Linked DNA regions of Tamandua tetradactyla. The protein of the gene in region 3 purifies or fractionates together with the protein of the main gene of each other region. This does not show direct contact. Links are inferred from orthologs where the notes say so. Each region holds a gene or a part of one and is shown on either strand. Other genes may lie near its edges. The genes, in order: PAAF1, PSME1, PSMD1 and RAD23A.

Evidence for each region.
Region 1: the proteins of PSMD1 (region 3) and PAAF1 purify together in Homo sapiens (affinity purification with mass spectrometry; 3 studies listed by BioGRID and IntAct, with this or other methods). This does not show direct contact. The link is inferred for Tamandua tetradactyla from reciprocal best matches to the Homo sapiens genes PSMD1 and PAAF1.
Region 2: the proteins of PSMD1 (region 3) and PSME1 fractionate together in Homo sapiens (co-fractionation; 3 studies listed by BioGRID, with this or other methods). This does not show direct contact. The link is inferred for Tamandua tetradactyla from reciprocal best matches to the Homo sapiens genes PSMD1 and PSME1.
Region 4: the proteins of PSMD1 (region 3) and RAD23A purify together in Homo sapiens (affinity purification with western blotting; 4 studies listed by BioGRID and IntAct, with this or other methods). This does not show direct contact. The link is inferred for Tamandua tetradactyla from reciprocal best matches to the Homo sapiens genes PSMD1 and RAD23A.

What each region holds. Positions count from the first base shown.
Region 1 is NC_135334.1:72,048,432-72,055,970, forward strand, and holds the start of PAAF1 (proteasomal ATPase-associated factor 1), read right to left. Parts: upstream 3,019-7,539; 5' UTR 2,778-3,018; coding exon 2,731-2,777; exon of another isoform or gene 2,427-2,730; intron 1,076-2,426; coding exon 1,035-1,075; intron 1-1,034. Other genes in the region: COA4 (cytochrome c oxidase assembly factor 4 homolog, mitochondrial), read left to right, coding at 5,083-5,343. UniProt on the Homo sapiens protein: Inhibits proteasome 26S assembly and proteolytic activity by impairing the association of the 19S regulatory complex with the 20S core.
Region 2 is NC_135340.1:30,655,840-30,663,804, reverse strand, and holds PSME1 (proteasome activator complex subunit 1), read left to right. Parts: upstream 1-4,965; 5' UTR 4,966-5,216; coding exon 5,217-5,255; intron 5,256-5,958; coding exon 5,959-5,991; intron 5,992-6,091; coding exon 6,092-6,154; intron 6,155-6,267; coding exon 6,268-6,378; intron 6,379-6,467; coding exon 6,468-6,513; intron 6,514-6,645; coding exon 6,646-6,743; intron 6,744-6,997; coding exon 6,998-7,066; intron 7,067-7,151; coding exon 7,152-7,219; intron 7,220-7,336; coding exon 7,337-7,391; exon of another isoform or gene 7,392-7,395; intron 7,396-7,472; coding exon 7,473-7,559; intron 7,560-7,742; coding exon 7,743-7,823; 3' UTR 7,824-7,941; downstream 7,942-7,965. Other genes in the region: FITM1 (fat storage-inducing transmembrane protein 1), read left to right, coding at 736-1,007, 1,396-2,008. UniProt on the Homo sapiens protein: Implicated in immunoproteasome assembly and required for efficient antigen processing. The PA28 activator complex enhances the generation of class I binding peptides by altering the cleavage pattern of the proteasome.
Region 3 is NC_135329.1:207,000,411-207,007,524, reverse strand, and holds the start of PSMD1 (26S proteasome non-ATPase regulatory subunit 1), read right to left. Parts: upstream 3,008-7,114; 5' UTR 2,841-3,007; coding exon 2,825-2,840; intron 1-2,824.
Region 4 is NC_135337.1:89,717,479-89,724,416, forward strand, and holds the start of RAD23A (UV excision repair protein RAD23 homolog A), read right to left. Parts: upstream 3,017-6,938; 5' UTR 2,906-3,016; coding exon 2,834-2,905; intron 1,493-2,833; coding exon 1,331-1,492; intron 1,163-1,330; coding exon 981-1,162; intron 839-980; coding exon 783-838; intron 651-782; coding exon 523-650; intron 293-522; coding exon 214-292; intron 94-213; coding exon 1-93. Other genes in the region: CALR (calreticulin), read right to left, coding at 5,287-5,490, 5,586-5,678, 6,194-6,337, 6,424-6,537, 6,633-6,842, 6,929-6,938. UniProt on the Homo sapiens protein: Multiubiquitin chain receptor involved in modulation of proteasomal degradation. Binds to 'Lys-48'-linked polyubiquitin chains in a length-dependent manner and with a lower affinity to 'Lys-63'-linked polyubiquitin chains.

The DNA.
Region 1 (7,539 bases), on a different chromosome or scaffold from region 3:
TGGTTGAACATTTTGTCATAAGAAGCAATAATACTGCCTAGCTATATATTTTTCTGAGTGCTTTCTCATTGTAACCTGGGAACAACTCTAATAAATAGCGAATAATGCACAGATTTCCCCCCCTCATTCTATATTGGGGGAGGATGAGAGATAAGTGAATAGAAATAAATTTTTAGATTTACTTCATGAAATCCTAGGTCTGAATAAAGCAACATTTATGCATTAAGGACAGAAAAGCAGATGCTGTGAATATCACCGAATGATCACATGTAATTGGAGAAATGATTGTAGTCTAGTTTATGTATCTAAATTTTATGTATGTAACAGAATCTAGAGGCATAGAGGGTGAGTAAGATGGATAAGTCTCATCCTGTGGCAAAGAGAAAATGGGTAGGGAAAGGGAGAGAAAAAAATACAATTTCATATTGTGGTAAATCCTGTGAAAGCAAAACTGGGTGATAAAATGGGAGACAAAAAAAAAAAATTTGAGTCCACTATTACCTAAATCTTTAATTGTATCTTTCACTTTGAGGTTAGTAAGATTATCATTATTATGGTTATTATCGATGGAGATTTCCCTAAGTAGCCATCCTATGCAGCCATCTTTACTTTCAGATTCTATTTGACCTTGGAACAATCTTTCATTGATATTTCCTAAGGCTTTCCTAGACCTCCACAGTACCATATATTCCATATTCTTTTATCTCTTTTATCACATCTTAGTTTTTCTGCTATTATCTTCATTTGGTATTCTCCTAAACAGCCTCTTCTCTGGGCCTTGCCATGGGTCTCTTTTTCCTTCTCTTTCACATGCTTTCTGGACAGTTTCATCTACATTCAAAGCGAAGCAAAATCTACATGCTGATGACAACTTATCTAATTTAAACCACTCAGTACAGCAGGCTGTTCAAGCACAATTTAGGACTATGAGTATTGTGCAAGAAGGATGAGCCAGGAGAAAGTAGGAAGCTCTTGTCTATGGGTAGTACATCCTTCTTCTCTAAAAGGAAGGTATACAGACTTATGGACATTACCTGGGGGATGACAGCTCAGCCAGGCCTCCCCTTCATCCTTCCTATTGAAGAGAGACAAAAGCCTAATTAGAGTCACCAAAAGTTGAAACGGATGCCAGTGATGCAGAAAGAGAAAGGTCATATCTCTAGGGAGAAAGGCCATATAGACATGATCTAGTACAGCACAGATTATTCTAAGACAGTGGAATTTTATTTGTTGAAGTATTTGTGGATTAGGTATTTGATGAATAGATATCGACTGGTTAAATGAATGTTCAAATACTTCAATTGTTAGGGAGTTCACTACTTCTTTGCTGCTGCACAGCTTTGAAAAATCAAAGTTATTTTATATTTAGATATTTACTGGGATAATTGTAAACCAGGTCCTGTGCTAGGCATTTTGCATATAGTACCATTAATCCTCATAACAAGAGAGCAAGAAACCATTTATTATCCCATGTTAAAGAGAGAAACTGAAACTCAGATAAGAATCCCTTGTTCAAGGTCACCTATCTATGAAGCAGGAATTGAGACCTGGTGCTGGTACACCTCACACTGTTTTTTACATGTTTTAGTATGCACCTCTACAATCATCTCAAATTCTGATCTCTTTACCCTACACTTTCAGGTTATAGTGGAAAGGGCCTAAGCTTTTAAGAAAGAAAGATCTAGGTTGACAGCACTCCACTGTTACTTATTCAGCAGCATGATCTTTGACAAGTTATTTCTCAGATTCTGACTCTTCATTTTCTTATAAGCACATAGTGGCACTAAGTAAATGTTAGTATTCATCCTTTATTACTTTACCACACATTCTGTGATGCACTAAGTAATCTGTACATCAGTAATCCACTTAGCAAGGTGAAAGTATGCTTTATTCATCTTTATCTTTGCTTCCATTTGAAAAACCTTAGTAGTAATAACAGTTGCATTTATTACACTGCCATACCTATCCTGGTGCCTAGAGAAATAACTGGCATACAGAAGATCAATAAATATGTTAAATGAATAAATGGTTTGTTGGGTATTCCCAATTACACTGACTGGTTCTTGAGGGAAGAGTTACCATTTGTTGCACTGCTGACTCATCCTGGTGCTTAGTACATAATCAAAAAATATATGTTAAATGAACAGTTTGTGGTGAACAAATTGCTTTCCCAAATTACATGATTAACTTTTTGAGGGCAGGATCCACCCCTGAAACTCAGAGTACATTTCTAAACTCCACCTAGAATGTAGTAGTGGGCCTGAATTGTAGATGTTACACTGTCTCCTGAATAGAACTGTCAATATGCCTAATATACCGTCAGGCACTGAGGAAGATACAAAGATTTTATCACGCAAAGATCATGTGGTGTGGTGGTGGATACTGGAATTTTTGCAAACAGTTGATTACCCATAAATCTTTGCTAAATGACACCTGGGCCAAGAGTCTTCCTGCCTCCCAGTTTTCCTGTCTTTCTACAACTCAATGATCAAGTTCTGACGCTGGGGTCACACAGCGTCCGTCCGTTTGGCCTCAAGACAGCTCTTCAGAGAGTAAAAATCAATGACTATGTGGATTTGAAACATCTTTTCTAGATCCAGTCTCCTCCAGCTCTCTCTACAGTTGATGAGGCATCCACTAGGGATACGCTGGACCGGGCATGGCTCTCCTTGATGCAAGGGCAACATCCGCTCCCCGCCTCCTCCCACCTCGTTCTGGGCTTGGATTCACCTGAGGGCCTTAGCCCAGTCGCTCTGAAGTCTCAAAGGCGCCGCCATGTTGACCCCACCTCCACCAGCCGGCCTCTTCCACCTGCTCGGCTCTTTCCCGGAAGTGGCTCCCCAGGACAGGCTGAGGAGAAAGCGGAGGGCGGGAGCTACACTAAGAGACCACCAATGAAAATACGCGGTGCCCCATCCCTTCCTATGCGTGCCCAGGCCTGGCTGGAGGGGCCGGTGTTTGAGAGGAGCGAAGAAAGAGCCTAGCTGCTATCCAGACTGTCGCTGCAAAATCGACGCGCCACGCAGGAGCGCGCGTTCAGGTCCTCTGTGTCCCTACCGGGTGAGCATGGTGTGACGTGCCGGGTGGCGTGCGGGGACTGACGGCACGCTTCCTCTCCTTAAAGTGGGGAGGAGCCTTAGGTTACCTGGCCACTTGGATTTCTGTGTCTTCCCATTTTTTCCGTGCCTTCCTTTTCCAAATCGCCCTGCACAGTCTGGCTGCCGACGTTCTGATTTAAGAACAAGGGTCTTCCTCATTTTACTCCTGGGGACACTGAAGCCGGGAAATAATGGGGGAAGAGTACGGTAGTATTTACTGAGTCCCTGTTGTAGTCCATGCATTTTTTCACCAATTATTATATTATTCTTCACTTTAATCCTGCAATTGAATGTTATTAACAAGGAAACAAAACTAAAAAGTTACATGTGAGGCGTGGTATTAGGATTGGAACCCAGATCTCTTTCTTGGCTTAGGATCTAGGGCACTGCCCCATGTGCATAATCTAAAAGATTTGTCTGTTGCCTTTGAAGAAGTCAGTGTGGTTAGGAAGAGGAAACATGCCATAGGAACCATCATTTATTGAACTCTGGAAGTGTCAGATTCCTTACGTGCATTAGCTCATTTAGTCTTCAACAATCCTGCAAAGTGGAAATTATTTACTTCTATTTTTCATGAGAGATTAAGCTTGCCCAAGATCACCCAGTGAGTCTGACAAAACTGGATTTCCAACTCAAGTCTGTTTTCAAAGCCCATTTTCCAACAACCCTCTTAAGATTATAGTGTTTTTCAAAGCAAGAGTTTTGTGTAGGGCCAAAGAGCCCTGAAATCCCTCTCATGACTTCCCCATTCCTTCAGGATAAAAAGTAAACTACTTTACAAGGCCTGCAAGGTCCTGCCATGATGACATATCTCAGCACTCCAGTTTTTTGTTGTTGTTGTTGCCCTATTCTCCCCATACTCTATACTCCAGTCAGAATGAACTTTCTATTTTCTTATGTGTTGAATCTTTCTCCACTCTTGTGCCTGGACATGCTTTTCCCTTGGCCAGGAATATTCTTCCTCCCCATCCATGGGTAACTCATTCATGTTTTCAAGGCAATTCATCCTTCAAGGCTTAGCTCAGAATCACTTCCTCCAGGAAACCTTCCCAGCCTATTCCTACCTTTGTCTGAGTATGTAGCCCTCTTCTGTCTTGCCGGTCTTAGTCACACTGTATAATAAACTATCGTTTGACTATGTTGTAAACTTCATGTACGCATGGATTGTCTTAGTCACTCCTGATCATCAGCTCTAGCATAGTGCTGGTACTAGAGGGACTCAGTGATTATTTGTTTAGTGAGTCAGAGACACAGGAAAGACATTAAGGTTTCCTAGCTCCATTACAGCCTTTCTTGGTGAAATTTGTACCAAGTCTGATGTCATTTTTTCTCACTCTTTTCTAAAGTTCTTTCCATATGAGTACTCTGAGGCAGGTAATCTTTAAAAGATAGTGGGCAAATACCTCACATTTTTGTATAGTTGACAAAGCGCTCTCCCTCACAGACTCAACTCTTGCTCTGCTCCCAGCATATTGTATGCTGTAGCCACATTAAATTCTCTCCATTCCTCTCATGTATCAACCCTACCCATATTTAGGTATTCTCCCCAATATTAAATTCTGTTCTTCTCCAGGCATATAAGGCCAATAGTAGAAAACAAAAGAGATTAATTCTGTTGGGGTGAATTTTAGAGATAGCTTCTCCAAAAAGGTGACATTTCATCGAGCACCTATTCTATTAGTAGAATCCATTGAGCATATCTAGTGCCATTTGCTGTGTTAAGTGTTCTCACATACCTTATCTCTTTCAGTCCAGTTCAAACCATTTTGCAAGCCTGTTCTCCGCCAGGCCTAGTGCTAGGTAGTGCTAAGGGCAGCAAGGAGAATCAGGCCCACTGTCTGTCCTCAAAGAACATACAGTCTAGCAGAGAAAGACAGGCTGTAACAGTGTGATTTGGTAAGTACTATTTATAAAAGAGGAACCATGTATAAATCATATACCTGCTTTAACCTTGCCTCCATTGATGCTCTAGAGTCTCCCCAAGATGTCAACCTCAGTCCCTAATGGCCATACTTGGGCTCAGAAAGTGAAGAAGGAGGATGAAGAGGACCCGCTGGATCAGCTCATCTCCCGCTCTGGCTGTGCTGCCTCCCACTATGCAGTGCAGGAGTGCATGGCCCAGCACCAGGACTGGCGGCAGTGCCAGCCAGAGGTGCGAGCCTTCAGGGACTGTATGAGTGAACAGCAGGCAAGGCGGCGGGAGGAGTTGCAGAGGAAGAAAGAACAAACCAGTGCCCACCACTGACATCCCAAGCTACCTATCCCCAGAGGATGGCCCTGAAGAAAGCAGCACCCAGAGATCATAGGAAGAAATCCTAAATGGTGGAAGTGTGGGCCCTGAGATCTAAAACTTGGGGATACCCTTTAGGACGGGTTGAGAGCCAGATAGCCATGAATTTGGACATAACTGTCATGTTTTCATAGTCAGATCCCACACATCTTACCCATCTTGTTCCACCAGTACTGCCGTGTAAAATGAGTTAAGGGTGCCCCGCTACCCCAGATCTGAGTCAGTGTGGAAAGAGCTGATTACATAGACTTTTTTAATTTTAAATGTAAATTCACATCTAAAGGTAAATTGGTGGCCTGATCAGATCTTTGTTTATTCAGTCATTGATGTAACAAAAGGAAATTGTTCTGAGACTCTTCACATGTGCCAGGCACATGTGTTGGCACATGTGCTAGAAGCTGATGTGATAAATAACAAGATCATGCTGCTTAGGGTCTAGTTTGAAAGAAATAAAATAACACTGCATTCATGCTGCTTAGAGTCCAGTTTGAGAGAAAAATAAAACAATACTGGAAAAGCTAACAAATTCATGACAATGACATAACTGCCTTTAGCTTTCATCAGTTGTTCTGAATGCTTCATCTGGTCTAAAGGGAGAAAGAAAGCAGTGGAAGACTTCTTTCAGCAAACACTGAATACCTGTTATATGCCAGACCTCTGAATTAATCAGATACAGAATGTGGCCTCAACAAATCCCAACCCCCAAAAACACAACATTGGCCTAACACTTATAAATTATCATTAACATTAAAATGCAGACTTCTCAGCTTTTGAAAAATGGAAAATCTGTCAACATGGAGTTTGTTTTCCCACTTGGCAATAATTTGGTAAATCTGGATTACAGTGTCTCCTTTCTGGGGTGCTGTGTTCTCTATTTCATAAGAGTTGCTACAACTTCTCATTTTTCTTCCATGAAAAAACATTCACTTACTTCCTGCTTAGCCCTTTAAGGCATGGAGTGGAATGCCACAGAAGCTGATATGAAAAGAGGGTCATATGCTCACATCATAAGTAGCAAACATTTCTTGGGCACCTATATATTAGAAATCCAAGTCCAAAGTATAATAGGTCTACCTAAACCTACTCTGAACCTTGTGTTGGTATTTTGGGGAAGAAGAAAAGATGATAATAGGAGAAGCAGTCAAAAGAACAATAAAATCCTATTTCCACCTTCAAGCTTATAGTGGGATGAATGGGTACATATATAAAGTTGAATCTCTACGAGACCATATAGGCTCAGTGCTGTGGGTCGTTAGAAGGAGCAAGCAGTGTGGACTGGAGCTGTCAGCAAAGGTCTGAGAGGCGGAGTTGAGTAGAACTTTTCAAGACTTCAAGTGGACATTACCTATTTCTAACATGTAACACAAAGGATTACCATCCAGAATAAATAATAATATTCACGCTATTGAAAGGATCATAAATTAGTAAAACTTTTGAAGGGTAATATTTAAAATATTTAAACAGTAATTCCTCTTTCAGGAATCCTTTTTTTTTTTTTATTTTTATTTTTTATTTAAGGAAGCAATACATTTAGAACCACCAAAAATGGATTATCTTAGTTAGCTTAACAATAGGCATATTTAAATAAAGTATCCCGCCAAGTTGGCTTAGAGAAAAAGGTTACATCTGAGCAACAAAAGAGGTTCTCTGGGGGTGACTTTTAGGCATAATTATAAGTAGGCTTAGCCTATCCTTTGCAGGAATAAGTTTCATAGGGGCGAACCCCAAAATTGAGGCTCAGCCTATTGAACTGGATATCCCTGCTGCTTGTAAGAATCTTATGAGTTCCACAGATGGGGAAGTTAAATATTTCCTTCTTTCTCCCTAGTCCTTCAAAAGGACTTTGCAAATACTTTTTTTTTCTTTTATATATATATATATATTTCTTTTAATTGTAAACAACAAACAAACATACAAATGTTCTTGACATACAAACATTCTTGACATGGTTACCATCAGTGGCTCACAATGTCATCACATAGTTGTGTATTCATCACCATGATCATTTTTTTTTAATTTATTAATTAAAAAATAAAACTACATAATCCATAATTCACAATATCATCACTTAGTTGCATATTCATCATTTCTTAGAACATTTGCATTAATTCAGAAAAAGAAAAAGACAATAGAAAAAGAAAGAAAACGAAC
Region 2 (7,965 bases), on a different chromosome or scaffold from region 3:
GCACAGCACCACAGATTACAAAGCAGCCCTGGGACCAGACTAGCCCCTTAGAGCCCTTTTAGATCAGTCAGAAGCTGGGCCGGACCATGCCCCCAGGGTTCACAGTGCAGTGAAGTAGGCAGCCCTACTGAGCTGCCTCCCAGGGCCTGAGTTGGAGACAGTGCTGTGTACAACCACCTTGCAGCATCCTGACAGCATTGGGCTCTTGTACGCATAACCCCAGGAGAGGGGGCCAGGACTGCACTGACGATGAGGCAGACAGATTTTTTTCAGTGCCTTCTAAGGTTTGATCATGATCCTTGATGGAAGGGGGATTTGGGCTGACCAAACAGGCAGGCAGAACCAAGTAGGCTGTGGATAAGGATAACCCTGAATGGCAGGCCTGGCCCTGAGAGATGAACTAGAATATGATTGGAGCTGGGAACACAGACCTGTACGTCATGGGGACACCAGGGCTAACGGAAAAGGGCACAGGCGGCTGTCAGGACACAAGCTACCACACCAGAGACCAGGACCCTGCTGACGTGGCAGTCCTCTGCCCCAGCCTCACTTCCCCATTCCCCCATAACTCTGTTCCCTCCCCCCACCCCTCGCCCCTGCCTGTCAGCTGCTAACAGGGCTCTGCCCTGTGTCTGCCACACCTGTCACTGCCTGTCCGTGTCCGGGGGTGGGGGCCCCATCAGCCCCTCCTCAGCTGCCCGGCAGAGCAAGCAGTTAGTGGGGAGGGGAGGGAAGATGGAGCGGGGGCCAGCGGTGGGGGCAGGGCCAGGGCTGGCTGCCGGGACCCGGATCCGGGCACTGCTGGGCTGCCTGCTCAAGGTGTTGCTCTGGCTGGCCTCTGCCTTGCTATACTTTGGAAGTGAACAGGCTGCTCGCCTCCTGGGCAGTCCCTGCTTACGGCGCCTTTACCACGCCTGGCTAGCAGCAGTGGTCATCTTCGGTCCTCTTCTGCAGTTCCATGTCAACCCTCGGACTATCTTCGCCAGCCACGGCAACTTCTTTAACATGTGAGTCAACTCCAGGCTAAGGGAACCGGCTCCCTACACTCTGGGATTCGAGCTCCCTCCCCCAGGCCTCTGTCCTGCCAGCCTAAACACTAAAAATAGGCCAGGAGGTTGAAAAGAAGGTGGGCGGGGGGAGGGAACAGAGTTATGGGGGAATGGGGAAGTGAGGAGCAGGGCTGAAGGGGAAATGCGGATCCAAGAAGGCTAGGTGGTCCTCTAGGGAGATGGCAGCGTTTCAGTGGTCGGGGGTTGTGGAGGGCACGGGAAACAGAACCAGTGATGATGTGACACTGGACGCAGAATTGTGGATAAAGCAGAGATGGGGACACAGACCAGGGTGGGGAGATGCAGCTGGGGGGTCTCAGTGGTCTCCCCTCTTCTCTGCCCACAGAAAGTTTGTGAATTCAGCGTGGGGCTGGACGTGCACCTTTCTGGGGGGATTTGTGTTGCTGGTGGTGTTCCTGGCCACACGGCGTGTGGCGGTGACCGCCAGGCACCTGAGCCGACTGGTGGTGGGGGCAGCCGTGTGGCGGGGGGCCGGCCGGGCCTTCCTGCTCATCGAGGACCTGACGGGTTCCTGCTTCGAGCCTCTACCCCAGGGCCTGCTGCTCCACGAGCTGCCTGACCGCCGCAGCTGCCTGGCAGCCGGCCACCAGTGGCGGGGCTACACGGTCTCCTCCCACACCTTCCTGCTCACCTTCTGCTGCCTGCTCATGGCTGAGGAAGCAGCAGTGTTCGCCAAATACCTATCCCATGGGCTCCCGGCTGGTGCCCCACTGCGCCTTGTCTTCCTGCTCAACGTGCTGCTGCTGGGGCTCTGGAACTTCTTGCTGCTCTGTACCGTCATCTACTTCCACCAGTACACCCACAAGGTCGTGGGTGCCGCCGTGGGCACCTTTGCCTGGTACCTCACCTATGGCAGCTGGTATCATCAGCCCTGGTCCCCAGGGAGCCCAGGCCATGGGCTCTTCCCTCGTTCCCACTCCAGCCATAAGCACAACTGAAAGAAATAAAGGACAGCACGCCTGACTCTGGGTCCTCTCATCATTTGACCGGGGCTTGGGAGGGATGGGAAGGGTAGGACGACGGCCTGGCACCATTGGAATTCTTTAGGCATTCCTTGCTGGCACCATGAATGTTCCTTTTCCTGGGACATCCCTCCCACTGTCAGCCTCCTGACCCTCACAGAGCCATCTGGGGTTGGGATGTCAAGGAATGGTGCTGATAAGGCAGTTAACAGCGTCCTTGAGTGTGGGTATCATTTTGGGCTGAGCAGATGCTCCATCCCAGCCCCATCCCTTCCTGGCCCTGCCCCCCATACACTTACACACACACACACACACACACACACACACACACACACACACACACACACACACACACACACACACACACACACACTGAATCTCTCCTCTGACCTCCTCAGGACCTTGCTTCTCTGGGCACCCCACTCAGGGGCTCTTCCTCAAAGAGAGTCTGGGCGTGTTCATTCATTTAACAAATATTTATTGTGCCGAGCAACATTTCATGCTATGAGTGAGAGAGTTTCTGCTGTAGAGGAGCTTATGGGCTACAAGGAGAGGCAGATGACAAACACAAATAACAGCAAATGCATTGTGCTTCTGGACCAGCCAGACACCTGTCTAAGTTTATACATTCTTTATGTAAATTCACACATTTATTCCTCATCACAACACTTTGAAGTTTAGTAGTGTTCCCATTGTACAGTTGGGAAAACTGAGGCCCAGAGGTTAAGTAACTTATTACAAATTAGTAAATAGCAGAGCCAGGATTATTAGCCCAGAACTATATGGGCGTATTATCTATGTTCTAAACCTGAGGTTAGCAAAATATAGCCTGTTCATGGCCAGCTTTCTTGTGACCTGTGAGCTAAAAATGATTTATATATATATATTTTAATTTTTTAAAGTTAATTTTATTGAGACATAATTTACACACAATAAAATGCATCCATTTTAATTATATAAAGTTCTATGAGTTTACACACACACGTAACCACCACCACACTCAAGATACAGACGATTTCCATCACTTTCAGGAGTTCCTTCAGCAGTCACTCATTTTTCCTCTGATATTCTAGTAGTTGAATAAATTGAATATAAATTATTTACCCATTCTCGAATAAATATTTGGATTGTTTCCAAATTGGGCTTTTACAAATATTCTATGAACATTCAAATGAATGCTCCTAGAGATGCCTGGCGTATAACTAAGAATGGATTTATAAGATTTCTAGGACACACACCTTCTACTTCACTAGAAAATATCAAGTTGTTTTCCAAAGTGATTGTACCATTATGTATGTTAAATACACAGCGCAGGAGTTTTAGCTGGTCTACATTCTTGCCGACAGTCAATACTTTAATTTGGGCTAACCTGAGCGTAAGAATATTTTATTTCAATTTAAATATGTCTATCCATATGCATATGCAAGTGAGTATCTTTAATGTAGCTGCTGACCATTATAACTTTCTTTTTTGAAGTGCCTATTTTGCCATTTTTTCTATTTGGTTGCTTGTCTTTTTTTCATCGATTTGCTTTATACTCTGGATAATAATCCTATGTCTGAATAATAACTCTTCGTCAAGAATATTTGTTGCAGATAGATGGTCCCCGTTTTTGCTTAGTAATTTCATTTTTTATGATGTCATGATAAGCAGAAGTTAGTAATTTGAATATGGCTAGATTTATTAAATTTTTATCATTTGTATTTTTGCATTTTAAAAACTCATTGCCTTCCCAGTGCCTGCTCATGTTAAAAAAAAACCATTGCCTTCAAGTTCAAAAAGGAATCTCCATTCAGTTTGACAGGATTTATATTTTTTAATGGTTGGAAAAAATCAGAAGATTTCATGACATGAAAATTATATGAAATTCAAATTTCAGTGCTCAAAAATTAAAGTTCTACAGGAAACCAGTCATGCTATACGAATATTTAGGTATCGTTTATGACTGCTTTCCTGCTATGACAGCAGAGTTGACTAGTTGCAGGGACTGTATGTACTCACAAAGCCTAAAATATTTACTATCTGGCTCTTTACAGAATAAGTTTGCCAACTTCTGGTCTAAATCATTACAATATTCTGTTTCAAAAAATAAACTAGGTAATATCGGAGAGTTAAGTGCTGTGAAGAACTAAATCAGGCTGCTGTGTATTTAGAGTTGGAGGGAGGTACTTTAGAAAGGACGACTGAGAGTTCTCTCTAAGAGGTGACATTTGAGCCGAGAGCCCAGCGGCATCCCTAGCCAGGGAAAGGTTGTTTCAGGCAAAGGGATTAACAGAGGTAAAGGTCCTGAGGCAGGGATGAACATGACCCGTTTGAAAAGTGAGCAGAAAGGTCAAGTGTTTGCAAGTGTAATGAAGGAGGGGGAAACAGTGGGAAATGAAGCTTGAATGGGAGGACAGGTGCCAGGCAGGCCGGGCAGGGCCTTATGGATCAGGCAAGCCCTTTTGATTTCATTTTAAGGTCAACAGGAAGCTGTGAAAGAGTTTGAAGCCAGAGGAAGGCATGGTCCCTCTATTTTGTGGAGAGTGAGTTATAGAAGAATGGAGGCTGCAACAACAGTCCAGGAGAGTCCAGGGAGCTTGGATCAGGGTGGTGCCAGCGTCTGCATGTCTCTCACCGGCTAGAGGATGCCCACGCTGGCGGGACGAGCTCCCCCTCTGAGCCGCAGGTAAAGCTTATCACTGTGCCAGGCCGAGCAGGGGAGGAGAGCCGGTGAGGAGTGGGGAACCAGGAGCTGAGAAGTTAGGACGGCAGGGAGTCAAGAAGGTGGGGCGAGGTGGGGAGCCTAGGGCGGCGAGGAGGCGGGGATGCCAGGCCGAGAGGCGAGGAAGCAGGGAGGGCGGAGAGGCCGGGAGGCGGGAAGCGGGGCGTCGAGAGGCGGGGGATAGGGGGGCAAGAGGGCGGAGACAGGAGGCCGGCGGTCGAGAGGAGGGAGGGAGGTGGGAGACCGGCTGGGCGGGGGAGGTCGCTGGAAAGGCTCCTTTTGGGCTCTAGGGGGAGCCCCGCCTCGCTGCCTTCCTCCGCCCCTCCACCCCTCTCCTATCCCCGGCCTGTCCCGCCTCCTCCAGTACCTACACTCCCCGCTACCCAGGAAGGCCGGGCGGGTGGCGAGGGCTGCTTTCGCTTTTCCTTCTCCGTGCCCACTCCTCGCTCCTCGTGCGGCGCAAGGCGGCCCGCCGCGACCATGGCCACGCTCAGGGTCCAGCCTGAAGCCCAAGCCAAGGTGAGCGCTGCGGGTTCCAGCAAGGGCCCATTAGGGAGGCGTGGTGCGGAGAGGCTCCCTGATCTGCCCTCCCCCTCCAGCCCCGGACATGAAGAGGGGGGTCAGTCCACCAAGGCCACCTGTCTGGAGCACCTGAGCTCACGTGGAAACCGGAGAGGCTGCCTGCCGAGAGGCGAGGGGGCCGTGGTTCAGTGGGGTGAGGTGAAGCAGAGAGCTGGCGTGCAGGGGAAGTCCGCTGGCCTGGGGCCCTGGGCCACACACAGACAGGGTGTGGGGCCAGCAGTGCCACCTGATGGTCTTTCTCACAGAGGGCCCGGGACCCCCTCCATCCCTTCCCCAATCGCAGGGGGTTCTGTCCTACAAGTCCTCTGAACATGGCCTAACAACCCAGGGGATCTGCTCCCACATCAGCAACTCACCCTTCACCACCAGGAACGTTCTCAACTTCCAAATCCAGCCGCAGGGGAATCTACTTCTCTCTCTGGGGATCTACACTACTTTCCCCAAATCTAGACCCACAGAGATCCACTCCTGTACCACCCGGATCAAACCCCACAGAGATCCATCTCACTTTCTTCAAGTCTGGCCTTAGAGGGATTCACTCCACCCCTTCCCAGGTCCAGGCCCTACATAACCCTAAAGGAACTGTCCTCAAATACTGGCCTTCAAGTCAGGTTTCTGAGGGGTTGCCTGTGCTCCGCAGGTGGATGTGTTCCGTGAAGACCTGTGTACCAAGGTGAGACCTGCCCATCAGCCCTCCCTTGCCAGCCCTGCTCCACTGCTTAGGAAGGACATTGATTTTGACCCCATCCCCCCCCACCCCCACCTGCACACAGGCAGAAAACCTGCTTGGGAGCTATTTCCCCAAGAAGATTTCTGAGTTGGATGCATTTTTAAAGGTACTATGGCCAGGCATGGGGATAGAGAGTAGGGGCCAAGGGAAGAATTTGGGGGACTAGGAAAGTAAGGAGAGGACCCCCTTACCTTCAGCCCTTCTCCCACCCTGCACCAGGAGCCAGCTCTCAATGAAGCCAACCTGAGCAATCTAAAGGCTCCGTTGGACATCCCAGTGCCTGATCCAGTCAAGGAGAAAGAGAAAGAGGAACGGAAAAAACAGCAAGAGGCAAGCTCAGGAAAGCTGGGGGAGGGACCCACCCTAGAGGGAAATCATCCTTAAGCCTGACTTCCATAAGCCCTTCTCTCTCTCTGCAGAAGGAAGACAAAGAAGAAAAGAAGAAAGGGGAAGATGAAGACAAAGGTACCTGAAACCAGTCCAGTGGAAAGGATCTTAATTCCCACCCCCCAGGAGCTCCTCCCTAAGAGTTCCTCTTCCCTTCCCCACCCCTCACTCAGGCCTGATCATGTGACTGACTCATTGCCCATTCCCCAGGTCCTCCCTGTGGCCCAGTGAGCTGTAATGAGAAGATCGTGGTCCTCCTGCAGCGCCTGAAGCCTGAGATCAAGGATGTCATTGAACAGCTCAACCTCGTGAGCCCTCCCACGTCTACCCCCAGGCTGCAGATGGAACCCTTTGTCCTCCTTGGTCCCCGCCAGTTAGGGCACGTGGCACCTGCCAGGTCTTAGTAGGAGTGGGCACAGCAAGTGAAGCCAGAGCAGGCCCTGAGGCCCAGGATGGACTGGCTCACCCTCACCCACTGTGGGCAGGAAAGCAGGAGCGTGCAGGAGCCTGGGAATTGGGTGGGACAGGCTGTTATGAGTTTGACACAATTCCTTCCTCCCAGGTCACCACCTGGTTGCAGCTGCAGATACCTCGGATTGAGGACGGGAACAACTTTGGAGTGGCTGTCCAGGTGTGAGGGCTCCCCCACTCCCTGGTCCTCCTGTTCCCTCCGGTCCTTGCTTCCTTCTACTTTCCCCAATGCTTTCTTTCCCCAGGAGAAAGTGTTTGAGCTGATGACCACCCTTCACACCAAGCTGGAAGGCTTCCACACCCAAATCTCCAAGTGAGTGACCACCCACTCATACCCACACCCACAGGCACCCTCTGCCTTTGGTCTGGGTACAGAGGCCTGGGCTCATACTGCCTTCTCCCTCTCCTCACACCTCTCCCACTTCCACAGGTACTTCTTGGAGCGTGGTGATGCCGTGACCAAGGCAGCCAAGCAGCCCCATGTGGTAGGTGAGGCCCAGGCCAAGGTGCATGGAGGGAAGGACACACTGGAATGAAGTCAGGCCCTACCCTCAATTCTCCCTCAGGGGGATTATCGGCAGCTGGTGCACGAGTTGGATGAGGCAGAGTACCGGGACATCCGGCTCATGGTCATGGAGATCCGCAATGCTTATGTGAGGAGGGCAGGGCAGGGCCGGGCAGGGATGGGCAGAGACAGCTTTCCCAGGCTACCTATACCCTGACCGTGCAGGCTGTGGGTGAAGGGTACAAAGCTAAGCCTCTTCACAAGGCTGGAAATGAGGCACAGAGCTTCTGGGGGCCTCTGGCTGATACCCACTCCTCCCCTGGTCCTGTAGGCCGTGCTATATGACATCATCCTAAAGAACTTCGAGAAGCTCAAGAAGCCCAGAGGAGAAACAAAGGGAATGATCTACTGAGAGCCTCCTGCCTTTTACCAGGGACTCCAGACTTTCCCCCCACCTCATCCTGTTGAGGTTTCTCTCTCCTTTGCCTCCCAGGGAAAATAAATATAGTCATACCGGTCGCTGCCCATCAGCCCAAGTCTCTTTATTGGTTCCT
Region 3 (7,114 bases):
CAGGAAAGTCATGTTTTTCTAATTTTCTTGTGGGTACAGACCTTTTGTTGGTTGGGACTTTCTGATTAGGTTATTTCCATGGAGATGTGGCCCATCCAATTCAAGGTGGGTCTGAATCGTCTTTACTGGAGTCCTTTATGAGAGTATAAAAGGCAGAGACATTTTGGAGAGAACTCAGAGAGAAACACCAAGGAAGGAACAAGCAAGAACACAGAGAAGTGCAGAGACGTTTCAGAGAAAAGGGCCAGCAGACATTGTCAAGTGCCTTCCCATGGAAGACAAGAACCCTGGATGCATTCAGAGTCAAGGTATCTTTATTTGGATGCCTTAATTTGGACATTTTCATGGCCTTATAACTCTAAATTTGTAACCTAATAAATCCCCATTATAAAAGCCAATCCATTTCTGTATATTGCATTCCAGCAGTTTTAGCAAACTGAAAGAGCTACCTCTAGGGATCAGAAAGAGGATGGGAGACTACTATGTTATAGCTTTTTAGCACTATTTACCTTTATGTGCCCATGTTATGTTTAAAAAAAAAATGCACATCTCCTCCAGCAACTACCTATCTCTAGCTCTCTACCACCTAAAACTTCTGGAAAGAATTAACAGAGCATGCTGTCTTCTTATTCACCACTGCCTACCTAGAAAGTACTCAATACACAGTGAATAAATGAATAAATAACCTGACTAATAAACACAGAACCATGTCACTGGACTCTTTAACACCTAGGACAGGTCCTAGGCCAATGTGAACCAGAGGTCAGGAAACAAAATGATAAAAGGTTTGGAGCAGATGGTGACAGGTAATCTAGTAAATTTAACAAATAGTAAATAATATGTAAACATTACATTAACATCACAGAATCTCAGGAGAGGACCTGGAAAATCATTAGTCCCACTACCCTCAGGAGGTTTTAATTCTATTATAGTCCCAATAAGTCCTTTTTCAGCCCCTCCATAAAAATCTGTAGTGATTGATTTACTAATTTAACTGCTTCATTCAAGATATAGTTTTTTTAAAAACTTTTGCCATGTGTCAGGCAGTATAGTAGGAATTGTAAAAATGACAAGTTTCCTCATGAAAATTCTACCAGGTGGAAAAAGATAGTAATCAGGAAACAAGGTAATTATAGGATTGTGATGGATAAGTCAATTAGTGGGAAGATAGGAAGCATGTTTTAATAGGATGGTCAGAAGCAACTAACATTTGCGCTGAGACTAAACACTGAGAAACTAAAGGAAAACTTGAGAAAAGAGGAGTCAAGTTAGACAAAACAGAATGTGCAAGGGTCCTGAGGTAGGAAAGAAATGGACATTTTCGAGAAACATAAAGAAGGCCCATGTGATGAGCTGTAGTGAGAAAGGAACAGAGTAGTATGAGATGAGGTAGGAATCGGAATACGTAGGTCTTTGGTCAAGAGTCTGAATTTTATTCTAAACGCAATAGAAAGTCACTGGAGAATTTTAAGCAAAACAATGATATGATGCGATTAAAGTTTTAAAATGAATACTCTGGCTACAGGATAAAGAGACTGTATGGAAGTAACAGTGGAAAAACAAAGTCTTCTTAAGGTTGTTATAGTAACCCAGGCAAGAGATGAAGGTGGTTTGGGCTAAGCTAGAAGCAGAGGTAATGGATGGATTTGATATAGAATGAGGCCTCCATTTAGGGGTAGCCAGAAAGTTAGTGATTGTTTTAACTTTAGACAGTTCTGACTAGAAAAGCTCTTATGTTGAACTAAAATTGATGTCCCAATCAATCATTGGCATTCCTCCAAGGCAAAAGTCTAATTCCAAGTACAGGTGACAGTCCTTCAAATCTTTGAAAAGAACTATACCGTCTCCCGACATCTCTAGAGCTTCTTTAACCAGTCCTCATAAGAACATGGTTTTGAGCTCTTTACCATATACGTTATTTTCTGATCACCAGCTTATTTACAACAAAATACTTGTGGGACAAGTGTAGAGCAAAACCGGAGGAGAAGAGGGTGTTTGAGCAGGCAGAAAAAAAAAAAGCACCAGAGTTGCGGACAACTACATGTAAATCAGTCTATAGCTGGCTCTGTAACTATAAATCCCAGTCTCTATCTGGGGTTTAGATCTCCGTTCAAAACTTGTTTTCTATGTTATCCCATTTCAAATGTCATTACATGACTTCTATTTATGCAAAGTTTAACCGGAAAAAAACTTATGGGAAAGAGGTGCAAGTTCATAAGCATGAAACCTGAACCACAGTTTTTTCTGAATGTGCAGTATTTACTACTAAGCATCTGGCCTCAAACAGGTGAGTCTCCGCGTGCTACTGCCGAACGCAAATGTTTTCTGAGTGTTTTAGCTGAATCCCCTCGGAGTAGATCCAGAAATTATCCACTTCAAACCATGTCAAATTTCACTAGGAGTGACCTCCGCGCTTAGAAACAGTTCGACTGCCCGCCCAGAGGCTGCTTCACAAGGCGACGGCACAGAGAACCGCATCCCTACCAACACCTGCGTGGGAGGCTAGGGATTCGACAGCCCACCCGGCCGAAAGCAGGAGGAAAAAAAGAAAGGAAAGCCCCTCCAGAAGGGACACGGGGGTGTGGCTGGGAGGGACGCCAAAGCGGTCGACCGGGTACGATCCCTCTCAGGCGAGAGAGTCGCAGGCCAGCAAAAAAGGTCCCGTCAAGGTCCCAGCCGCCCTCCCGGGGATGAGCTTTGAGCAGCGAGGGGCCGCACAGGCCGGCGCTTCGCCGGGAGGCGCCCAGTCACTGGCCCTGACTCAGCTAAAAGCCGGCGAGGCGGCAGCTCCTCCCTTTCGCTGCCGGCTCCGGGCCACACTTACCCGCTGAAGTGATCATGGCTGCGCCCTGCACTCGCCCGCCGGCTCACTGGCCGTCCTCGCCGCGCCGAGTATCTGTCAGCTCAGGGCCGGTACACTCCGCCGCAACTGCCCGTTCCCGGGATTAGCTACTCAGTCAGTTGTCTCCAAAGGCCGCCGGCTCACTCCTCGCCCAGGACCCCGCTTGCTCCGTAGCTGCCTGCAGCCCCGCCTGTCGGTAGGCGCTCATTTTCCCTCCGGCCTGCATTTTCCGCTCCGCTACCGTGGCTCTGGCTCATACAGAAGGATGTATGTATAGCTATATTATTTTCATCAACCCTTCTCGAGGCCAGAGCTCCAGCGCATCCAGGCTTCATCGACACTTGGGATCAGGCCGCAGCATGGCCAGCCCTGAAGAGAGGCCCCCCGCTATCACCCGCCATTGCTGACAAGATGTAGAAGGAAGGTGCAACAGATGCGCGCCGCGCCACCTCTTGGGCGGGAGGTCTCACTGCAGACCCTTTGGGGGAGGAAAGAACATTTAATAGAAAAGTGATTTTCGATTTTTAGTTTTAGCTGAGCCCGTCTTCAAAAGAAAACTTCTTAGAAGTGCTTTATTAGGATTAATAATTAATCATTGGTTTATTATAAAGTTGAACAATGAAGATTTTTATTTACTTTTGAATAGTTAGTGATGTACATTTACATGATTAAAAAACAGATGTACAAAAGGATATACAGTGAAAAATCTTCCAAAGGAAAAAAAAGTCTCCATCCTTGCTTCCCATCTGCCCAATTCCTCTCTGCACCCATAGCAAGGATTATTGATTCCTAATATATCTTTAGAAATTTAACACGGCAGTTACCGATTGCCATTTGCAGTCTCATCCCAGCTTCAATTGCCAAATTAATTTAATAGTCAGTACTGAGAAAGTCTTGACAAAGATAAGCAATGGCAAAGCTAGTTTTTCACTATCAGGTTACCCTTCAACTAGAGATGATAAAGTTTATTTCTGAGGCTTCTCAAAACAAGCTAATCTAGTGGCACACATCATTGTTTCATGGTTGCCAATGAATTAAACTTTGGCTGATGACACACTTGAGGATGTATGAAATTACAAAAAAAGAGGGGGAGTTCTTAAGCTTTACTTGTTAAAATATATAATTATTAAACATTTAAAAATAATTATTAAACATTTTTCAAAACCTGTGGCTTAGATGGAAAACCAACTGTTCTAGTTTGCCAGGTGCTGGAATGCAATATACCAGAAACAGTGGCTTTTAAAAGGGGGAATTTAATGAGTTGCTAGTTTACAGTTCTAAGGCCGAGAAAATACCCCAATTAAAACAACCCATAGAAATGTCCAGAGGCATCCAGGAAAAGATACCTTGGTTCAAGAAGGCTGATGAAGTTAAGGGTTTCTCTCTCAAGTGAGAAGGCACAAGGCGAACACAGTCAGAGTTTCTCTCTCATCTGGAAAGGCACATGGTGAACACGGTCAGGGTTCCTCTCTCATCTGGAAGGGCACATAGCGAACACGGTGTCATCTGCTAGCTTTCTCTCCTGGCTTCCTGTTTCATGAGGCTCCCCGCGAGGCGTTTTCCTTCTTCATCTCCAAAGGTTGCTGGCTGGTGGGCTCTTTGCTTCATGGTGCTGCAGCATCTCTGCTCTCTCCAAATCTCTCACTTTCTCCAAAATGTTTCCTCTTTTATAGGATTCCAATAAACTAATCAAGACCCACCCAAATAGGTGGAAACACCTCTCCCCCTAATCCAGTTTAACAACTGCTCTTGATTGAGTCACATCTCCAGGGAAATGATGTAATTACAGATTCAAACATAGAGTACTGAATAGGGATTAGAAGAAACAGCTGCCTTTACAAAATGGGATTAGGATTAAAACATGGCTTTTCTAGGGTACATCTACCCTCTCAAACCTGCACATAAACCTAGAGATATTCATGGAAAATAAACAGGTGGAGTATTTGGGGTAAAATTTTACAGAGGTACATCCAATGATCCCTCACATACAGATAATGTGTGTCCCCAAGCCCCCAGAAGAGTCATAAACAAATGCCAACAGGTAATGGCAATGAGTGAAGCTGCTCTAGTGTTAAAAACTACTAGCTCAGCAGGCTGATGTTAGAGAGGCAATAGGGAGTGGTGGGGACTGTGATAAAATGAAGAGTTAAGTATACCTTCTAAAAGAGCAGCCACTCCTCCTCAGTGCCTACAGTGTCACCATGTGCAACAGGGCTATTGTTGCCAGAGCATATGGTTTTTTTTAAGAAAAAGCAGAAATTTGAATTTCATGTAAAATCTTCTGATTTTTTTCCTGGTGCCTGCCCACGCAAAAAAAAAAAAAAAAAAAAAAAAAAGTCTGATTTTTAAATGTTGCAACTACTTCAAAACAGACAGATGACCAGTTGACCATCTCTATCTTTCATGGGCAAGATGTTCTCTATGGAAGGACAGTCATGTCACCAGCTTGGATGTTGTGCTTGTGATGACTTCAACTGAGTCCCAGGAGAATCTGTGAGATGGCCAAAAGCCAGTTGGCTTGGCCACATACATCAGGCCCCTTTCTCCTTGGGGATTCTAATTTCTGGCCTGGTTGGCTGCAATAGCTGCCTCAATGCCCCCCGCCCCTGCCTGGGGTTGCTCCCTCTCATCTAGTCCTGCACACTTGAAATACTGATAACCATTGCACAATTCTCCAGACCATTCTTCACATGGGGCCAGATGCCCCATTCAAAACAAGTTAAACCAGGACCTTCTCTTTTCGGTGGCTCTTTTGGGACTTTCACCTGACCCTGCTCACCCCGTCATCGCCTGCCACCCCTCTGGCCTGGCATGCCACACTCCAACCAACTTGCTGTGCTGCGGCTCCCAGAGTGGCCATGGGCCTTGCCTCTGACTTGGCACCTGCTCTCTCCTCTGAGCTCAGGGCTCTCTGTTCATCTCCCAGCCCCCACCCCCACTCCCAGCCGCCATGACTTGAGTCCCAGTCAAGCAGCACCTCCTCCAGGAAGGCGTCCTTGACGCACCCTTCACCACGTGCACCTTGAAGCCCTCACCCCACCCCGCCATAACCACATCCCCTGTACTTGTACAAATGGAACAAGGAATTGCTCAAGGGCAAGGCCACAGCATATTCATCTCGGGATTCCCTGTAATTTGGCACAGCACATAGGAGACGCCCAATCAATGTTTGCTGATTGAACAAATAAATGCCCAGGGTTAGTTAGTGTTGGGGATTGAATTGTGCCCCCCACAAAAGACATGCTCAAACCTTAATCCACATTCCCGTTTGTAAACAGGTCCTTTTGCAGATGTCATTGTTTGTTAAGGTGTGGCCAAGCTGAATTAGGTGAGTCTTAACCGGTGTGGCTGGAGGTTGTATACAAAGGGGAAACAGTGTTGCCGTCAGCAGCAGCCAGATGCACCCTAAGAAGAGAGAGCGATGGCTGAGTAGCGGAGGGCAGAAGACCTGAAGGCCACCACCCGGGAACAGCGCATGGCCTTGCTGACCTACGGCTTTGAAACCTCTGCCCTATCCCAAACTCTAAAACAGACCCCATTTTTCATAAGAGATTTAGAACTTGGTGAAGCCCTAGCAACCTTCACCCAAATTTAGAAGGCATGCAAAACAGGTGACAGCCCAAGCCAGGCCAGTGACCTCAACAGGTGTGGATGGGCCAGGGGGCTCTGTCGGGGTGGGAGTGGGGGGGAGCGCCCGTTCCCACCCTCCTCCGGGCGTCCCCGGGACCCGCGCGGCGCCCTCTAGCGGTCACCAACGCCTCAGACGCCGGAGAGCCGGGAAAGGGCAACAGCGCCGCCGAGCCTCCCGCCTGGGGCATCTAGATCGCCGCGTCTTAGAAAAGATCTAGAAACGTGCCCGATCGCCTCTGTTGGTGGCGGGAGAGGACTTGGCTGTCCGCGCGCCGGGACCTGCGGGGGAACCGACCCACGTGGCCGCCTGCGCCGAGCCCAGAGGCGTTGTCTCCCTTCCAACACGCCCTCGTACATTTTTACAATAAAAGCATTTATTTGTTGGGGTAGATTTTTGATACCAGCCAGTGCCGGGTCTGCGGATAACGCCTGCGCCGGCTGGCTTTGATGTGGATACACTGAGGCATGGACAGGTCCGTGGAGCCATCGGAGAAGCTGGACTCTCTTCTTGGCGTCCAGTAGAGCAACTAGAGGCTGCACCAGGCCAGCTGACTGCTGGAAACCACTGGGGTCCCCCTACCCCATGGCTTGGTGAACCACCAGGTCTGGGCGAGGGGCTGGGGGTGGGAGGCAGCTGGGGGC
Region 4 (6,938 bases), on a different chromosome or scaffold from region 3:
GGGCAGGCAGCAGCGCTGGGTTCTGCTGAATCACCTGCCGCATGTTCTGGAACTGCGGCTGGTCCCGCAGGAACTCCAGGGGGTTCTCTCCTGCTAGCAGTGGGAGGGGGTGCAGTCAGAGACCTTGCAGGACTCCCAGGAGCCACGGGCTGGCTCAGGTGCCACGAGGGCAGACCACCCCACCCCATCCCCACCCTCTTTCCTGTCCCTCACCTGCTTCTGTGGCGGGCTGCTCCGACACCTGGCTCTCCTGGATGGAGCCATGCTCTGGTTCAGGGCTCCCAGGAATTCCCTGACAGAGGTCCTGTTGAGTTCTAATGCACAGACCTCCCGCCACCCTCTATTGCATGCCCTGCCCTGCCCTGGTAGGAGATGGGGGAGGCCTTGGCCCTGCCCTCCTTAGGCCCACCCCACAGCTCACATCCACCTTCCTGCAGGAAGTCTTTCCTGCTACCCAGTCTTTTGGGAGCAGGTTTTGCCTCTTCCCAAGACCTCCTTGGGGAAGCGGCAGCCCTGCCTCACCGTGAGCAGATACTCCACAGCTCGGTGGGGGTTGTTGTAGCTGGCTCTTAGAGCAGCCACAACCCGCTCCCGCTCATAGCCCATGGACATGATCTCTGTCAGCATCGTTTCATACTCAGAGCCAGTCACTGTGAAGGGAGCAGCAAAATCTGGGTCACCAGGGGGAGGGAAAGGCATGCCCAGGCTCTCCGACACCCAGATGAGGCCCAGCAAATGGCTGGGGAACCTGGTGGCCTCCACCCTGGGGATCACCCACACACCTAGCGTGGAGGCCGCGTCTTCCTCTCGCCCGCTGCTACCTGAAGAGGGAACAGAGCTGCAAATTCAAGAGAGAGAAATCGGACCCTGGCTTCTGGCATACTGCCCTCCCCCACCCAGGAGTGTGGGGCCACAGATGCAGGCGCTAAAATGGGCTGGGAAACCTGGGGCCAAGCCGGAGCAGCTGCCCCCTGCCTTACCCTGATATGGATTCCGGGGACGTGGTGAGGACTGATTCCTCCGATGGGCTCTTGTCCTCTCTGGTGGTTGGTGGGGGATGGGACATGCCGGAGGCAGGGGCTGGTGGGAAAGCTGTGGAGGACTCCGGGGCAGCTGTGGGGGAGGTCTCTGGGGGTGCCGAGGTGCCTGAGCCAGCTTTGGCCTGTGGCGGCCAGGGAAAGGGAGCGGGTGTCAGCACCCCTATCAAGCCCCAACATCCTGTCCCATTGTGGCCCCACCCTGTTTATGGTTAATCTGTCCTGGGCACATGGGCCCTTAGCCAGTTCCACAGCTAAACCAACTGCCCTCCCAGGTAGCACCCTTTATGCACCTTGGTCACCATGACAACCACAAAGTTCTTCTCATCAATACGATAATCCCTGATGGGGACATCATCACTCAGGATTTTGCCAGCATAGATGAGCTTCTGTCCAGCCACAGGGAAGGCATCACGACCCTTCTCAGCTTCTATCTTCTCCTTTAGGACTTTCACCTGGAAGGAAAGGTACAGGCACTCATTGCTAAACCCAAGATTCCCTCTTCTCTTCTGGTTTAGGAAAGGAGAGACTGCAAGCACTGATGACAAAGAAGCTGGAGTTGAATTCCTTCAATCATCCCGACACTCTGTGGAGTGTCTACCAAATGCCTGCACATCACAAACAACTGAGGTCACAGGAGGGAACAAAACCCAACGCAAGTCCCTGTTCTCACGGACATGACACTAATATACACTTCAGATGATATAAACTACAACAATAAAAAAACAGAATAAAGAGAAGAGGGTCACCTATACCTTGCGGCTGACCTTGGACAATAAGGTCAACAAGTAGCTGATATTTACTGAAAACCTCCTAAGTTGCCAGTGCTAATCTAAATGTGTAGTATCACACTTTCTAAGCCTCATGATAACTGCATGAAACAGGTGACATCAACTACATTTACCGTTTGAAAAAACTGAAATTAAATAATTTGCCAAAATCAAACCCTTGGGCTGTTCAAAAAATCTCAGTCTGTGTCCTTTTCTATAAAAAGTGGACTTCAGTGTCTCCTCCACAGGGTGGTTGTGCAAAAACTGCTGGGTATGTAATTACCCATTCAATATGTTTGAGTTTTCTAAATCTTCTTTCAGCTAAAACCGGGGCATCATGTTTAGACCATGGACTCTCACATGAGGCAGAACGAAATGTGAATCCCAGCTCTGCCACTTACTTGCTGTGTGTGTCTATGGCAAAATTCTTTAACTCCTGGGTTTCCACATCTGTAAAATGGGGAGAGTCAGAATCCCCAAAACGACAGGGCTGTTTTGCAGATTTAGTAAGACAAGGTTTCCGAAACGCTCAACAACTGGTAATCAATGAACCGCCAACAAACTCGGACCGCCGAAACTATTACGATTGCGACCATTTATTATCAGTGTCATCGTCGCCAGCACCAGTCGGCATCTCCGGGTCAACCCTCCCAGATTCGGTCACCAACCTCCCGAAATGCCTCCTGCAGTGCTGGGAAGGCAGAGTACCAGTGTAGGAGAGCGTGGTCTGACTGGGAATCCGAGCCTGCAGCTCCCGCGCCCCGTGAGGGCGCTGACATTGGAACTGGAGTAGCAACTTGGCGGGCGCCGCGGGGGTGGGGCCTCGCCCGGAGACCGACCCCAGATACCACGGTCTGAGACCGCGTCAGCGGAGGTTCGTCGGGGTTAGTCCAGCAAGTGGGGGAGAGGACAGGGCCGGCCAGCACTGTCCTCTCCGCCCCTCCCGCTAGGATCCCGGTCTCCCCGCCCCCACCCTAAGCCCCGGCACCCGTCGCTCCCGCCCCTAGGCCCCGACCCGACCCGCACCGTCTCGTCAGGCTCCATGCGGATCTTGAAAGTCTGCTGCTGCAGCGTTTTGAGCGTGATGGTGACGGCCATGGCGGGGCCCGAGCAACGCGGCGGCCCCAGGATCCTCGCACAACATGCAACTCACGCCGCCGCCATCTTAGCGCCCAGTCGCGCCGCGCGCCGACCGCTTCCGGGGCAGACGGGGCGCGCGCCCCTCCGGATCCTCGTGGACATGCGCACCAGCGCCCTCTCGGGCCAGGCATGCGCAAACTGAACTTTGCTTCCGCGGGAAGCGGGGGAGTGCTCCAAACTCAGAGCACACGCCAGTCAGGTGGCTCCTGTGAATGACGTCATGCCCCTAGCGGTGACGTCATGCGACCACAAAATGGCCCCGGAGTCCCCTCTTCCACGCCCAAATGAGCTTTTTCATTTGTTGAAGTTGAGCAAAATTCTTCACGTACTTATTAGACATTTGTATTTCTTCTGTGAAATCTTTAGGATTTTTCCCCTTAACAAACGAGTTTTACATTATTTTGGTCTGGCGGGCTGCGGGGCCAGGAATATGGAAGGTACTTGAGATTGGAAAGGATCCTTGGAAGATCACCAAGAAATGAAAAAGTTAAAAAAAATCCATCTGGGCGTGGAAACAGGACACCCTCTTTGGGGGCCTCATTCATTCATTGCTGAGGGGGATCTGCCTTTTGGGGGATCTCTCCCCTTTCTGCTGCTACTTTCCCTGCAACTTTGTTAACCCTACACTATCCCTAGTGGAACCCAAGATATTTAAGACATCAGTTTTCAAGTCCTTTCTCCACTGAGTACATAGGTGCTGCAATCCTGGAGGCACCTGGAGAACAAGACATGATTTCCAGAAAGGAGGGGTTGAACTGGGCCACAGGCTACATACAAAGGACTTAGGGAGGGAACAAGGCGCACCAGTTTGCCTTAGCTGACGGTTGCTTTGGGGGGCTGGATAGAGACAAAGCTGGTCTTGAACTCCCAATCAGTGGGCAAAAGGCCCAAGTGCAGACCAGGAGGTGGAAGACAGAGTTGCAACCTCAAGATACCTCCAAAGCTGCCCCTTTTGCTATTCAACCAAACCTGACACTTCATGGCCATCATCAAACTGTAACCAGGTCCTGCTGCTTCTCCCTTCACTGGAGCCAATAAGGTTCCACCAGCATTGGCCAGAATAGGGTCAGGCCAGGGCCAGCTGACATCTTATCCTTTTCTTCTGCAACAGGGAACACCGGCCTTCTCCTATTCTCCAACCGGCTCAATGGACTTTCACTTCCCTGACAGCACAGCTGTTGGGGGTTCTAGGTCAGTTTCGGAGGCCCAATGCCACCTCAAGCCTCTCCCTTTGGTCCATGCCCTTCAAGTTCAAATCCCAACTTGGCCTCTGAAAATCATAGGGAGAAACTTTGTCAAGTTTTATCTCTGAACCTATTTATTCAATTATAAAAAGAAGTGATAGCTTTTAACCACACTGGCTGGTATTAAAACTGTTTATTAAAGCGCCAAACCACTGTTTTCAGCTTATGATGATTATGGTGTGGGTTCAAACCCAGCCCTATTACTAAATTCTGTGTGCCACAGTCTCCTCACCTATCAAAGCAAACTGGTACTAGAACCAAAACTCAGGTTTGGTCCAAGGAATTGAGTTGTTACATGGAATACTTTTTAATAGTTGAGTCTCCTATTGGTTTGGGATTGCCTGGCAAGCAAGGGTCCCTGCAACCTTGTCTCCTTAGCAGCTAAAAATGTTGAGACAACTCCTTACTCAGGAGCCACTCCTCCCCAAGAAATGCCATCTCTGGATCCCTGGATCTCTGCTCTCTTCCCAGAAGGAGACACCGAAGAGAGACACAAAACTTAATTTAATAGAAATTTTGTTTGTAGTTTTACATTCTGTGAGAGCTGAGCTGGAACCCGCTGCCCCGCCCAGAAGTGGCCCAGTGCTAGTAGCAGAGGAAAAGGGGAAAGGGTTGGGGGGACGGTCTTAGGAGCCCCAAATTTCCTCAGTGCTGGAGGGCCTGGGGATGTCACACTCTTTCTCCTGCTACAGGGAGGGGAGCAGATGGAATCTCAGACCTGGCACTTCTCCACACATGCCCACCCCCTCCCCCCAGGCTGGAGGGAAATGAAAGGATAGAGGAAGAGGACATAGGAAGGAAAAGATGTCAATCAAAAAAGATGAAAGCCAAAGGGTGGGGGCTGATGTAGAGAGCATCAAAAACAAGGCATGGTAAAAAAAAAAAAAAAAAAAAAAAAAAGGTTGGGGGGAGGTGGCAGGGAGGGAACAAAATAAACAAAACAACAACAACAAAAAATAAACCACACCCCAAATCCAAACCCGCCTGGAAAAAAATGAGAAGTTCTCCAGTCTCATAGAGACATTATTTGGAGCGGCCAGCTGTGGCGGGCACGCTCAGGCCTCAGTCCAGCCCCGGAGGCGGGCGGCGTGGCCTCTACAGCTCGTCCTTGGTCTGGCCAGCGGCAGCATCTTCCTCCTCTTCTTCTTTGTCCTCTTCCTCCTCCTCCTCCTCCTCCTCTTTGTCCTCCTCTTCCTCCTTGTCCTCCGCTTCCTCCTCCTCTTTGTGTTTCTTCTCCTCCTCCTCCTCCTTTAGCCTCTGTTCCTCGTCCTGCTTGTCCTTCATGAGCTTTTCTGCAGCCTGTGGGGGACAGAGCCTTTGCCTCAGTGCCCAGGCCCCACTCGCCAGCCCTGCGTCTGCTCCCTCAAACCTGGGTAGGGGGAGCCCGATCCTACCTTCGTGACACCCCACGTCTCGTTGCCGAACTCCTCGGCGTACGCCTCATCGTTGGTGATAAGGAAGTTATCAAAGATGGTGCCAGACTTGACCTGGGGGTGAATGGAGTGAGGAGTGGGTTACCCAAGACGGCCCTGGCCTTGGGAAAACTCCCACCCGCGGTGCTCCTGTAACCACTAGATGCCGCCGCATCTCTGCAGCAGTCAAGAAGCACCTCATGGACCAAGCAGCACAGCTAAAGTTGCAGTTAAAAAATGGGGGCTGCGAGACCCACAAGGGGTGGGTTCCAATCCAGCTCTGCCCCTTCCCGCCTGTATGGCCTTAGGCTGGCGACTTCAAATTTCTGCCACTGCTAGCAAAGCAAAGTTTTCTAACAGGGCTGCTTGACCACCCCCGAGATTGGTGGAGGGAATGACAGGTACTCAGGGAGAGCCCTGGCACTCAATAAGTGCCTTTAGGACTGTAAAGGTTCAGGAAGGGCCTCACAGCAACAGGGCTCTCAAAGCATTTTCCAGTCGGGCCTGCCTGGGTCTGAATCCTACCCTGTCCCTTCCCTCGCAGGTGACCTGAGGTGCCCCCAGGATCCTCCTCCCACTCTGGGTCGCACCTGCCACAGGTCCAGGCCCAGCACAGCGAAGCTGTCGTAGGAGTAGATGTTGGCGTCAGGGGAGTACTCAGGGTTGTCGATCTCTGGGTGGATCCACTTGCCTTTGTAATCTGGGTTGTCGATCTGTCGGGGCTTCCACTCGCCCTGGGGAAGAAGAGAATGGCATGGTGAACAGAGGCCGGTGCCCTCCCCACCCTGTACCCCAGCCCTTACTTGGAACCCAAGCTCACCTTGTACTCAGGGTTCTGAATCACTGGCGGTTCCCACTCTCCATCCATCTCTTCGTCCCAGTCCTCAGGCTTCTTTGCATCAGGGTCGGGGATGTGCTCAGGCTTATCCCAATCCTAGGGGGGGAGAGTCGGGGAACCACGAGGACATCAGAGTGAGCCCACATGTCCACCACCCCTTTCACAGTGGTGGTCCCTGTCCAGGCACCAACCTCGGGCTTGGAGTCTGTGGGGTCATCAATCTTGGCCCGCTCATCCCAGTCATCTGGCTTGGCGGCATCGGGATCTTTAATCTTCTTGGGGGGCAGGAAATCCCAGTCCTCCTCCAGGGAGCCCGACTCCACCTGGCTGTTGTCGATCTTTACCTCGTACGTGTTGTCGGGCCGCACGATGAGTGTGTACAGGTGTGTGAACTCATCATCCTGAGGAGGGTGGGAGGTGAGCAGTCCCGCCCTCCCGGATTCCTGCCCTTCCCCCCACCAACCCCCACCCCACCCCTCAGACACACCTTGCAACGG